Lytechinus pictus: one gene and its partner. The protein of the gene in region 1 interacts with the protein of each later gene in a pairwise test. Links are inferred from orthologs where the notes say so. Each region holds a gene or a part of one and is shown on either strand. Other genes may lie near its edges.

Region 1 (6,971 bases):
AATCTTGCGAATGCAGTCGAGCTGCCATGGGAAGATCTTTTAGTCGTTAACTTCAGTCCATATAAAAACTACATGGCAATGGCCAAACACGCACCACGCTCAGTTCGATCTCCTGAGAATTTTAACTATGACATCAAGATCGAAGCTGAAATACAGCCGTTTCCGATGCCTGCAATTCAGGTCAAGGAGTAACGTTAGCAAGGGTGCTACATAAGCACTTGCCCGGGGCAAGTAAATGTTTGAGTTGGGCAAGTGTTTTGAAGTAAAGACCAAAACTACTTGCCCGAACTGGGTAAGCAAAATTCTCACAGTAGAATGACCAAAATTTGGGTCAATATGATATAATTATTGAGACAATAATAATTATTATTTCAATAATAATTATTATGAAAAAAATATAACAATAATTACTATAATGATAGTAATTATAATTGTAATAATTATTTAGAAAATAATATTAATAAAACAAAAATAATTATCATGATAATAATTATTATAATTATAATAATTGGGACAATAATAAAACGATGAGAAAATAATAATATCAACAATTTTATTGAGACCACAATAACAAGACAATAATGAGATAATAGACAATTGAAATCGATCTGTTTTTATTTTTTGATAGAAATCCTAAGATTATTATTTTAATTCTCTTTCTTTGATTACAAATAATATTAATTGAAAACTTAATTTCTAATGTTCAAGCAAAGAAAATCAATATCAAGTCATGTTTACCCTGTGCACAAACCTACCAGTACCACAGGGCAATTACCCCCGAAATAGGGTTAGGTTAGGTGTAGATTTTTGGATAGGGGTACAGACTACAGAGTACAGTGTAGTTGTCCGGGGGGGGGGGGGGGGGGGGTAATTGTCCAGGGTGGGGGAGTGGAATTGTCCGGGGGTGGGGGTGGGGGGTTATCGTCCAGGGGTAGTTGCCCTTGAACCAAAGAAATCATATGCCAATACATGTATGTCAAATCAATCTGAGTACTTTAAGATTTAAATAAAAAGCTTGTACAATTCCCCATAAGCTATGTATTATAAATGTGCCGTGCCCAAAACAAAGAGAATAATATTAATAAGATTTCGCAATCTTCTTTTGTCCACAAAAAGCCCCATTTTTTCATCACAAAGATGACAATAACTTGACTTCTAGATATCGGAATTTGAAAATTCAAACAGTTTTGTGAATCGTAGATATTGAGCCTCATTGTGAGCCTATAAAATATGCTGGAACAGCCTTTCCTAATTTTCACCTGAAGTGCCTACTTAGTCTTAGAAGATTAGGTGGTCGATAAGGGGAAGGCCTAGTTCCAACCATACTACATGCCTCATTCTTCCCGACAATAATGTATTGTCATTTTGCAAAAGCCAACACTTCAGAGCTCATAATCATATGTCTGAACTGAGCTCTGAAGTGTATTGTTGGCTGTTGCGAAATATGATTATGAAGTCTGAACTGAGCTCTGAGTCTGAAGTGTTGGCTGTTGCGAAATGACAATAAATTTTTGTCAGTAGAGGCGCACGGCCAATATTGGAGACTGTCTCCAATGTGGGAGATTATCTCCAATATCAGAGACTTTTGTAAAGAATTTGGGTATCCAATTTCAGAGACAGTCTCCAGTTTTGGAGATCAATTTCCTTTGTTTACATTTGCTGCAAAAGGATTACCTTGGCGGCAAATAAAAATGTGATAAGCAGATTCCTCATGAAAAATTACCCCTTTTCACCGTCTACTTTTGTTTTGATAAGGATTTTTGTTGTCAATCACACACAAAACAAATGGGCTTCTGACCTCAGTGAGACAAAATTTTGGGTGGAAAAAATCATGTTTTTGTTGGTGTTGTTTCTTTTGTCCTTTTGCAAAGCAAGTCTCCAATGTGGGAGATTGTCTCCCCTATTGGAGAGAGTCTCCCATATTGGCCGTGCGCCTCTACTGTTTGTCAGGAAGAATGAGAAGAGGCATGTAACATTCTTTCATATTCATCATGGCAGCCCAGACAAAAATTGAATGACATTGTCCATTGTATTCACGCAATCCATGGACCAGAAATGGGCATGGCAATTGCTATTCTGATTTCATTATTAATATTAATTCAGCGATCAGGAAAATCCCCCGTTTCACAACCTCACAATTGCAATTGATCATACCCACACTGGCCACAGGCCACAGCCACACCACACTCCAGTCCAGGAACGATCAGTTGTTGTGTGTCCGGACAGGTTGTGTGTCCGGACGATCAATTTTAGAAAGTCATTTGGAAAAAATTACAAGCGAAGTGTCATCAATTTTTAGTACAAAATGTAAGGAAATATTATAGAGAACATAATATAAGATGATTACAACTATTGAATTCATATTTTTAGTGTTATCTTAAGACAAAAAAGAAGGCTTCAAAAATATAAAGTGTCCGGACACCCGATCCCCCATCCTACCATAATAAATAATGCCACACTTGCATGACGCAATAATAATATATCCACCCTACAGTTTCAATGATTTCTTTAGTATTGGACTTCAAATTGAAACAAAATTGTGACTTTGTTCATGCTGTTAAAAGTGTTAGTGTTCCCTATTGCCTTGGATTTGGAAAGCCAAACATGCATTACTTAGTACATTTGTCTGATTTAAAAAAAAAATGGCACACGAATGACGATCGTCACGATGATGTGGTCGTTGACAATTTGCTTATGTTCTTGTTCTTCTTTAAAAAATGCCCTTTTAAAATCAAGCATTTACAAACTGCACCTTAATTGAAATAACTGCCTTAATATAATGTGAAAATCTCGTCTACTTACTTTTAAATCAGAGTTTTTCTGGAAAAATTGACAAGTTCTTTTCGGAGTGAGAAGTATCTGCGGAAGTCTCAGCTAGTATATTGACGCTGCGACGCTTGTGTGTATTTTATATGGTGCTTTGTGTTGACTTGCGATTGGTCAGTCTGTGTCACATGGACTATTTCACCCTTTTCTATTGGGTAATAAAGATAGATCGTGTATCTATGGCACATGACGTCATATTAACCCGCGCCAGATATTTCAGACGATCGATGACTCGCAATCTCGGAATTATGCAATTTCGGCCCAAAACATTTTCTGGAATGATCACTGGTCGCGGGCATAACCTGAACGAGTGGTCGCGGGAGGTATATTAGCGACTGTGTTGTTGTTGTTTCCGTTCAACAGAGTTCATAAAAAATATTTACGCCTTTTTCGCTGTTTAGTTTTTTTTTCAGTTTGTGTTTTTTTTATTGAAAGAATCAAACATATTTACATAGGGAAAAAAAAACATAATCGTATTACCATTTCTAAGTAAAAAACAAAAAGAAAAAGGACAACACAAGACGACACAACACATGTGTTTAGGATGGAGGTTAAAAGAATATATAGGCCTATATATTTATATTTACCAAGCACTGATCTTTGCCAAAGAGAAGCTATTGACAAAGAACAATCTGAGCATATGGAGTTGGGAGTATAAGTTATAATTGGCAGACGCATGAATCTGATAATGATATATAAAAATATTAGGAGCCATCCCTTTTCAAATCAATTTTCTTTAAAAAAAATTCTTTTGGAGTGAATCGGCCTTGGTCGATACCTTAAATAGTTGGTAATTAAAATAAACTAAAAAGAAAATACCTCTTTGAATATTTACTATTGCCGCTATTTAGTAGCGTAAAAATGAGGCCAAAATTTATCTATCTATCTATCTGTCGTCTGTCTATCTGTCGTATGTCTGTCTATATTTATATATCTATCTATCTATCTATCTATCTAATATGGGTGTCGATCGGTGTTCATATTATGTTACTTTTGTTCTCTGTGAGAGATTTTTTTTGGTTGGGGGGGGGGGGGGGGGCGAGGGGTATGTGGCTTACATTTTTAGGGGGCCATGAAGGGCCAAACTTGTAAAAAGATGCATGTGACCAAAGTGAGCAAGCAAAAATTTTGACCCTTTTTTATTAAAAAATAATAATTTTATGATAGACATTGACATGGTATCTACAAATAGACCATCACCTAGCTGTTTCTTTTCCTTTTCTTTCTTTTCTTTTTCGGTCGATCGGGAAACTTTTTTGGGGTCCATGGCCCCCAAGCCTAGCTCACGTCTGAAATGAAGGGTTTCATATACAAACATAAGAAAATTTAGAGAGAAAACAAATTGATGGTCATCACGAGTATGATCTCCTCATCATTATCATATTTGCCATATGATTCATCAGTCACCGTAAATTACTGTGGGATGAGATTCGACGTAGGTCATCCCCAACCTGCATTGGGGGATATCCCCAGCCCCCCCCCCCCCCCGATCGACACCCATGCATATATGCTATCCATATATCTATATCTTGTTGAAGATACAAGGGGATCACAAAAGTGACTCTGCAAAGTGGGAATTTAGATTGTTCGATTGATTGTCACGGTAGTCAATCGTTATGTAGTATCCCGTGTAGTATTATGGTACTTGCAGTGTATTTCGTGAATTAAAAAAGAATAAACGGCGGGCTCAACATTTTTAATGAGTTTTTGAAAGCATTGTCTTATAACGTGCACACTGTCCCTTCAACAAAAACTTGTTTTTGATGTCAGGAAAATGACTGTCCTGTTATTGTATAGTGTTTTGTTATATTTTTTGGGATGATTGCTTGTCAGTGTATTTTAGGTGCCCCGACCAGTACTGTTCTAGTTGCCAACAGACACGTGGGCACAAGGAGGCATTAATCTACTTTTGGCATCGAATCATGCATGCAGTCAGATTTGATACTATAATAATTACACGATAGATATAAAGTGATTGTACAATACACTTTTTATAATAATTATACAAATAAAAATACAAAGCGATTGTACAATGCCCTTTTTTTTAGTTATTGGACAATATATCAGGATTATTCGCCCCAACACCTGCAAAAAAGGGGATAAATATTGTGAGGAGCAAGAACGATTTAACCCCTTGACCTAGAGAAAATTCAAGGATCTTCATCAAAGAAATTTAATCAGAGGTATAAATTCATTATGAAGCAACAATTTGAATACAAGAATTCTAAAAGCATTCAAGGAAGATGGCTCTCTCCACAACACATTCTAGTATTTTCATGAAAACTTTTTTGACACCACAATATACTTTAATGGATGATTTCCAGACATAACAATATATGTATACAAATTGGAATTCGAATAATTTTTTTTCTCACAAGTTTATAGGATACTTCTTTTCTGTATTAAAAAAAAAATTAATCCATAAATTTGAATATCTGTCAATGTCAGGTCCGAAGTCTAGTATATTTTCATATAAAAAACTAATTAGCATATTGATGTTGTTGATGAATGCTACTTATCCATACTATGTTATGAATTAAGTGATATGTTTTTTTCTCCTCGATGATATCACTATCAAATGCTTAAAAAATTATTTCATTTCGCGGGAATTAAGGCATGGGGGGAGGGGGTGGAGGGGGCTGTAATTTGAACATTTTATGGCCCTTCTGCCTGGGGGTGGGGGTCATGGTGGATAATATCAAAGTGAATTAATTAACAACAGCAAATATAATACAAAACACAAAATCTTTAAGTCATAAAATGGTTTCATTTATTATTCATCCACGCAATTTACATGTACACCTTTGTATGTGAGCCTGTTAAAACGAATATAATCAATTTGCGAGTCTGAAGTACAACAGTCAACAATCTTTCACAATATTGTTAAAGGTCATCTGCTTATCAGAGCTAAATCTCAACGATTTTAAACCATAAATGCACAATTTCCATTCTTCTTCATCACTAGAACTAGATAAATCTGAATCTGTGTGTAACAATATGAATCAAGAATAGAAAACTACATGTAATTCCATTCTTTGATAATTCACAAACTAGCTAGCACCTTTTAAAAATGTACAGTGATAAAAATACACTTTGTATTCTAGCATTTATGTACTTACATTGTCATACATAATTGATCTGCTATTCCATGTAAGAGAATACATCTTTAAAATCTTTTTGCAGTTGTACAAACTACAAAGTAGAGTGACATCTTTTAAAAACAATTTTGATTTACATAATCATAATGCCCTAGTACAAGACCCCCTTGGTAACATCCATTGTAGACTTACAGTTCAATATTCAAATAAAAGTATTTTTACATATTTATGTATATTAAACCCACACCAATATAGATATAAAATCAAGTACATAATATCCATATCATTATAAAAGTATAGAATGTTTTGCATAGTTGATGAATGTTTCGATACCTCACTCCTGAATTTCATGTATCAAAATGCGGAATGTTTGGGCAAGTCGATGGAATGGACTTGGATTGAACTGGAACCTACAAGAACGTCTACACGTTTGAAAATTCAGCTGGTATTGCCATTACTTTTAATAGTTAGCATTCATCATTTGAAAATTTGAAATTTACTTTGCTGGAAAACCATAGGAGACGGTTTCTCACAAAACTGTGTAGATTATTGCTTGATCATCGTATTCCAATAACTATTGTTCATTGAAGGCACATTTGGAATACAGAAAGTACAGACGGAAACATCCAGTGGAAACAATGCCTGATAAATCTTCTCTGCTGATAAGTTAGATAAATGAAAACAAAAACACATATTAATAATACCTGTACATGCATATTAGTTTTAAAAATACATTCACTCTTTACACAAGATTAATCATCATTCGTGGTGATACACCTTTTTTTCTTCTCAAGATTGAATATTTATGTATCTAAAACTCTACTACATACTAGACAAACACTTAGAATGATACAAATGTTTTTAGTCTTAACGCTCCCTGCCCATAACCCATATATATAAAGTCCTACCTACAGTACATATAATACAAGAGATGAATGAAAGAAATAGCACACATATGAAGATTAGGCAGCATCTGAGCATGTCAAGTGTATTTTGCTACTTTACTGTGTCAGCCTGATCTATGGGTAAGAATAATACTGCATTTTG
Region 2 (8,046 bases), on another chromosome or scaffold:
GTTTCTTTTTTTTCTTTCAATAATTTTGTTTTTACAATACATTGCATGACAAACTTCATAAAAACGAAATAATGGCAATAAAGGTAAAATGCATAACTAATGCACATGTATTAGTTGATGCATCTTTATAGAAAAAACACAAAATTGATTTGGAAGAAAAGATCTAATTCATTCAGATACATGTAGGTATCATACAATGAAGAATTGAAAATATTACCCAGCTTTCAAATGAACACAATATTCACATGACTTTAAATGGTTAAAAACATGAAAACCTATTATTGCAAGTACATTTTATTGGAACATATTCCAGCAAAGATACAAAAATTTGTAACGTCAAATTCTGTGCAACACGTGGAGAATACAACAGAGTTATTTTTTTAAAGAAAACGTTGTTCCAGAATCTAGCATGTGAATAATGGGTCAAAAGAAACTCATGTATGATTTAATTAAATAACAGATTATTCTTCAGCAGTGTTTCATATTTCGCCTTCATACATGGATTGCTTATATTAATGAATCACAACCTTTCTGTTTATGCCTATGTCATAGACTCATCAGGCAAAATGTTATCTGTCTGAAGTTGTATTGCAAGAATGGCGGCATTGGTAAATACAAAAAAATAAACAAAACACCGACCACAGGTGTCCACAGGTGTCGTAGATCAAAATGCGTAACTTTTACTGTAAGTTAAGAGTCTAAAAGCTTTGGTGCAGTAATGTGCAAACAAGTCGCAAAATATTTTATTTGGCCTCCCAATGGTGTGAGCTGTTGAAATTGTTGCAAGATTAAATTGATAACACAGATGAGCTACATTGCATTTGCAGCCATTTCTGATGGTCAGTGGTCATTACAAGCAAAAAATAAAGAAAGCTGATTATTTCCTTGCACACAATGCTTTCGTCAAATGTACAATTGGTAAAAAATAAAATCTGAGGAAAAACAAGAAATTCATAACACAAGACCATACATTCTGTTCGAAATAACTTCTCAAAACCAGTATGCTTCTTTGAAAGACAAAAAATTTTCATACGAATATTCACATCATAAACCATTTCAATGTACAACTTTATAAATTCCTCGCAGTTTCCTTCAAAAATTTTCTCACAAAAAATTATTTGACTTTCCTTCCCTTTTTTCTTTTGAATAAAGGACCATCCTACTACACTGGACTTCAAAAGACTAAGCATGGACAAGTACAATTAAAATTTGGGCATTATAAGTGAGTTTACACCAAATGACTGTTACCAAAGTACTGACTCAAAATTACTGGGCAAGCTAAAAGACAAATTGTCATTAGGTTACTAGGTTTGATGGGTTTATCAAATCGTCTTACTGGGCGGAATAAACAAATTCTCAATTTGCTCTGCATTTTTAGACATGTACAGTGTACCTACACAGAGATTGATAAATGCAGAAGATTATCAATTCCATACAACGAACATCATGGACTTGAGATATTTGAAAATCAGAAATAGGAATACTGGGGATCCTGCCCCAAATTTCTGGTAATTTTGGATATAACCAGGTCGGAACTACTGAATGAAAGTAATTTTGTATCAGCACTATAATATTGGGAACTGCAAACCAGCACAGTAAAATAGATTACATAGGTCTATACATGTCTTCTAGGTCAATTTTAAGATCTCAAAGAATATGAATGCAAATACAAAGTCCACATCCACAGTAATGTTTGTTTCGCAGGCCTCGAAAGTCAATAGTCTGTAGATCACTATTTTCAGTTATGAATGTCAGTGTTTCAAAATCATCTGCAATTATTCCAGATTAAAAAGCCAGTTGTTGTGCCAACATAACTTGACATCCACTCTTTACGTGTTCCATCACACTCTGTTTCAAAGCACAAACTTGTTCACGAAGCTTGGTTGCTGTAGTCGACAAGTCTGTATTTTGCGTTTTCAGGTCCTTCACTTTATCCTCTAGCCTGGCAATTCGCTCAAGCTTGCGCTTACGACATTTACTGGCGGCAATTCGATTCCTGAGCCTTTTCCTCTCAGCCTTGATGCGTTCTTGTGTTTCCATATCGATGGGGGACATGGGTGGGTTAGTGGTGGCGTGGTACACCGGGACGGTCTGGGGCTCTTCGCACGCAGGTTCTTGTTTGATACGTTCAACACTCGTCTGCCATCCGCATGTGATGGCTGTAGAGTCAGTGGGCATAGAATTACGAGATGAAAGGCTAACGGTTGATCCAGGCAGTGTAGTCGTCGTAGGCATTGCAGGGTTGTAAATCGATGTCGCAGCTGTGGTCATACTAGAGATGGTGGTAAGGGGGTTGAGGACCTGCTGCTGCTGGTAGGTTGTTATTGGATCACTTAGGTCCAGCTGGTCAACCGACGATTCATCATCGCTCACCACGGACTCGGAGTCCCCCGAATCATTCCGTTGGTGAAGGCTCTGGAGCGCCTCGACGAAACCCTGGGCGAAGGCGGCTTGCTCTTCGGTAACGTTTTTCGGGCAGATAAATTGAGTAGGCGTTGGTGTAGTACAAATATTGCCTTGCTGAGAAATAATCATTTTTTCGAGTTCAGGAGAAGCGAGTTTGAGCATCTGAACGTCTGGAGTCGACAGCACAGCAGCCGTAAGTTTGCGCTTGCCCGTGTCCAAATCCAGAGTCATGCATTTCTTCTTGCTCAGCCACGGGTTATGTGCATCTTCGTAGAACTGAGTCTCCATCTTTTTGCGACCGTTTTCGGCTGACATACAAACAGTTATGAGCTTTCTCTTGCTATGAGCTACAAGTCTGAGTCACAGGTCTCGAATTGATGTGGCAAAGAGGGAGATCCTGTAGTTGGCCAGGTAAAGGATTGAGAGAATTCTCTGTCTCTTCACAGTGCAAAATGAAATGATCGTAGCATGAATTTCCGATACCAACGCTGACTCACTATATATACACTGACTAAGGATTCCCAAAATAGACGGAAGAGCAGTGACATCAGATTCTCGAATAACGATTGGTCGGCGATGATGTAAGACGTGTGTTTGGCAATGTCATCTTGCGATCTGATTGGTCGATCCCAAATGTCAATCAAAGCACGTGCAGTGCTCTGGAAGTAAACGGTAACCCCTTCGACGACTCCACTTTTATAGTAGGGATGATATATTCCAGTGTACATATCAAGCGTATCATGATATAATCACGTTATAAATTAAAGAGACAAATATAATTCCTATTCAGTTTTGGTTATTGAATAATATATCTTCTTATTTTGATACCTTTTATCTCGAAGAACTTTAGATGAAATATTATCTAAATGGTGATATTCTATTGTTTTTAGTTTGAGTTTACCCGTAACGATGTGGACGCATCCAATTACACGTCACAATCTTTTTCCGGGTAATAGAACCAACCTCGCCGGAAGAGGTCCTTCATTTCCATAACAAAACATGCATAAACCTTGATTTCGCTACGTCACAAGTAACAACCCCTTTTTCCTTATATGGTATTGTTGTGGAAGTGAACGAGATCAATCAGGTGGTAAAAAGGTGAGACTAAATTTTGTATGTTGCTTGTAAGTTACTCTTAAGTTATCACTAACGTTTCAAGATGGAAATAAGTGGATGTTTGTGCTAGTAATAGTATTTGCTGTTTCAGTTAGTGTTGGCATTGGCATTGCTCGGCCTAACTCACTTTTACTTTAAAGTTTTAGTTCATAAAATCTTACTCTTAGTTAAAACACGTGCAACTGCAATGCTATTTCGAACACGTTGAGGTGGTGGGCATGCCATGGCATGGTCACATTCATGGACATGTCATGGACATGGATTTTCCCATTATTTATGCAGTCTAGGCCTATCTAGTATAAATCTCGATGTACATGTCTCTCCTGTTTCATTTGCCCAAATGAAGATCTAACGTTAGACCTAGGCTTAAAAGTTTTTAGAGGCAGTGACTGTCTTTTGGGACGATTCAAAGATAAATGCAAATAAAAATAGGGTCTAAATTTTTTTTTTTTACCCATGGCCATGCATGATTGAAAATAAAGTTTTGTAACCTATAGATCTAACGTTAGGCCTAAATAAAAAAAAATAATAACCTAGCCCAGGTAGGTAGAACAAAAAAAAGAAACAGCATTTCTACTAAAAAGCATTAGTGGCTAGATTTAAGAGTCTAGGCCTACCGTAATATTATTATTAGCATTATTATCAGAGACATTGCTCAAAACTTACCTCAAAATTTCCTAAATAGTGAAAAACAAGGCTTAAATACTCAATAAAAATATGTGCCTGGAAATGCATGTAGCATAATGATCCATTCCTATAAGCTATACTGTGTGGGATAGTGGCTAAAAATAGGCATTTTAAAGTCTTTATGTTGACCTAGACTGTTTGAACCTCTGTGAGGAGCTGTGAAACGTGTCACATTGATAGATAATGAACTTGGCTGCCAGAAAATGTTAAGATGTCGATACATTGTTCACTCAAAATATAGAAAGAAAATTTGAGGCCAACTAACCCATTGACTTTTTTTATACACATGTCTACAGCACAAATCTAGTGCCATCATAGCCTAGCCCTTCTGCCTAGATCTAGACCTAACGATAGGCTAGACAGCCATCTGTTTCAAGGATTTAAAAAAAAAACTTGTACTAGATCTAGATCTAATTGGTGAGTGGAGCCAACTAGTGGAACTCAGAGACCGAAGCTTGTGGTCTAGATCTAGAGAGCTGAAATCTGTCTGGTGGAGTTTTAAACATATAAAGCATTTTTTTACATTTTGAAATTTCTCCTCCGTTTGAGTGAGTGACGGTGGCAGTGTCAGTCTACACATGGACTGATGAAATTGGAGGAGACGGTGAAACAAGACATAGCCAAGTGCAACACTGACGAACAGAGACTCAAAACGGCAAAGCTATTGGTCTAGAATTTAGACTAAGTTTGGCCTAGTTTAAGCCTAACCTTATTTATTAAGGCCACCGCACACCTTACGACCCGATTGGTCTGCGACTGGCTTGCGACTGAGTGAGGGGATATGAATCGCAAGGTAGCCATAAGCCTCGACACCGCACACCTTGCGATCCGATCCAACTACCAAGCCGACTACCATGCTGTCTGCGACTCACGCATGCGCTTTTTGCCATAGCAACTAAGAAAATGCGCTTACTACTGCATATGCGCGTTGTATATCATATACGCGTCGTGCAACTCTGCTGTCTGATTGGCTGGAAGTTGGATTGAGCTTGCGATCCAGTCGTAAGGATTCGGCATGTCAAATCCTTCCGATTATCCTTGCGACTTGTCTCTGACCGGTCTGCAACTATCAAGCTGACAAGAGCTGTGACATCACATCTCCCCTCACTCAGTCGCAAGCCAGTCGCAGACCAGTCGGGTCGTAAGGTGTGCGGTGGCCTTTAGACATGACCTGGCTAGGGCTTGGCCCTGGCCTAACATTAGACCCTACACTAAAGTAACAATAAGGTATGATATGATAAGATATAAGTATACTGTTTTCTAGGGATTGTTGATAAATTAATTAAAGTTTATTAACTCTAAAGTCTAGTTGAATAAAAAATCCCCAGAAATGATAGCAGACTTCTATTCCTGTCTAAGACCTAGATCTAGCCTAATTTCTAGTCCAAATACTAAAATAAAACAAGTTTGAACTAAATCTTTTCAACTTTATCTCTAACTTAGTCTTAGACTATGATGTAAGATTTAGCTTTTGGAAGTAACAAGGTCCGTACAGTATGTCATATCTGTGTTCTATTTATAGATGATAAAAAAATGCCATAGACCTTAAATCATTTTTTAGGGTACAATAAAACTAGGGTTGACCACCGGATACTGCCATTTTGGTGTCTTGAGTACACTGAAGCGAATATCCAGTACTATGGAGTGGGTTTAAATGAAGATTAAAGATGTCACTTTAATGGTATGTGGCAAGCAGATCTACACAAACCAATTGTAATGCTGTTTTGGTCTGTAGTAAATCCAAACAACACCTGTGCTTACTTCCTTTAAGATGGGCTTCAAATCTCTAGTTGTCCTTGTTTCTAAAGGTTAAGACTACATTGTTCTTCAGCTATTGCTCATGCCTGTTTACACCGTACTAGACATGTTTTTCATCCGGTTTCTTCAACACTTTGAAAAAAGAAAGTTGTTTGCTGCAAAATTCTGTCTGCCTTGAACACTGTTTAATCAATTGTGGTTAGATTTATAGATCTGTACTGTTATTCATTTTGTTAGATGTAAGACAAGCAGCTTACTTATTGACAATAGTGAATGAAGGGTTTATTGGTGCAGTGCTATTTTGGGTTGTTATTTCATTGTGCCTATTTTTTCCATTCTGGGAAGAAGGGAGTTTTTATCCTAATGGATTTCATAAGAACTGCTTACACTGTTATCACAACTTATTCTTTGGTATTTTATTTTATTAATAACATCTATTCAAATTTTGTCTACCAAGAAAAAAAAATGGATTGACAATTGATTTAAAGGTCAAGTCCACCCCAGAAAAATGTTGATTTGAATGAATACAGAATAGCATAACACTGAAAATTTCATCAAAATCGGATGGAAAATAAGAAAGTTATGGCATTTTAAAGTTTCGCTTATTTTTCACAAAACAGTGATATGCACAACTTAGTGACATGCAAATGAGTCAGTCGATGATGCCCATCACTCACTATTTCTTTTGTTTATTTATTGTTTGAATCATACAATATTTCATTTTTTACAAATTTGACAAAAAGGACCAACTTGACTGAACCACATAGTATTAAGCAATGCTAATTCCATGTGTTCAGGGAGAAATAATCATTGTTTCACTTGACAATGAGGAGAAAATTAGAATATTTCATATTTCATATAATAAGATACAAAAGAAATAGTGAGTGGATGGCGTCATCTGTCTCCTCATTTGCATACGACCAGGATGTGCATATAACTGTTTTGTGAAATTAAACGAAACTTTAAAATGTCATAACTTTCTTGATTTACATCCGATTTTGATGAAATTTTCAATGTCATGCTTGTTGGATTTTTCTCTTTTTATTTTAATCAACTTTTTGTTGGGGTGGACTTGTCCTTTAAGGTGTAAGATAATAATTTATCCAACTTATTTTGTTACAAGGGAGATAGATATACATGTATATGAAATAATTATGATTTCATGTAGTACTCGTCAAATAAGGAAAGTGGGAACATGACATAATCTGCCTTCATATTGTATATTATCTGGCATTTAGTAATTGCTTCCACAAAATATCTCTAAACTTTAAGATATTGATAAATTTGTTATTTGATTTCAGATTTTGCTCAATGAGTTTTGCTCTATTTATTTAGATATAATAATTACTTCCAATTTTGAGTACCCTTTTACATTCATTAGGTCAATGTGTTGTTTTGTAGCATGTAAAACTCACTGATCTGAGAATCCCCTTATTTATATTCATTGATTTATTCCTTGACTGATGGATTAATTCATATTAATAGATCCACATTTTTTTTTTCAAAATATAAAAAGACCAATTATGATTTTATCTGCATATTTAAAACAAAATTTATTGAAAGAAGACCATGTTATATGTATATGCTCTGTTATTTGCTAGTCTGCAAGCGAAGACTCATATTTGACACTTTAACCAATAACAGGTCTTGAGTGAAGACTATACGCCAAAGGCTCTCAGCCATAGTACATAGTGAATCTAGTCTCACTGCTTCAGGCTCTGCATAATGCACTATGCGGATTGCAAAAACCAAGGGTCTGTGTCTACAGACTAGTCATTTGCATGGAATAGGTGAAACACATTCAATTTCAAGCAAAGTCATTCAAGAGTGCATAAAAACACTGCGAGCTTGTTCCACCGAATTACAGGTCAGCTGCATTCCGACTTCTACCACCCCTGCCAGTGCTACCTGTTGAACTACATGTACATTTCTTCTACCTCACCGTTTCCATGGTTACCATGTACACTGAATATGAAGGTGATACAGAGTGAGAATGAGTGTATGGTGAGTCCTCATGGATCGATGGTGCTACTGCTAGCATCATGCAAATATGACTCAACTCTGGGACTGCTACCCTGG

What was found.
Region 2: the proteins of polyubiquitin-C (region 1) and transcription factor Jun-like interact in a two-hybrid assay, tested with the Homo sapiens proteins (2 studies listed by BioGRID and IntAct, with this or other methods). The link is inferred for Lytechinus pictus from reciprocal best matches to the Homo sapiens genes UBC and JUN.

The regions. Positions count from the first base shown.
Region 1 is NC_087249.1:18,215,891-18,222,861, reverse strand, and holds the start of polyubiquitin-C, read right to left. Parts: upstream 3,139-6,971; 5' UTR 2,803-3,138; intron 1-2,802.
Region 2 is NC_087255.1:21,057,252-21,065,297, forward strand, and holds the start of transcription factor Jun-like, read right to left. Parts: upstream 3,018-8,046; 5' UTR 2,722-3,017; coding exon 1,786-2,721; 3' UTR 1-1,785. UniProt on the Homo sapiens protein: Transcription factor that recognizes and binds to the AP-1 consensus motif 5'-TGA[GC]TCA-3'.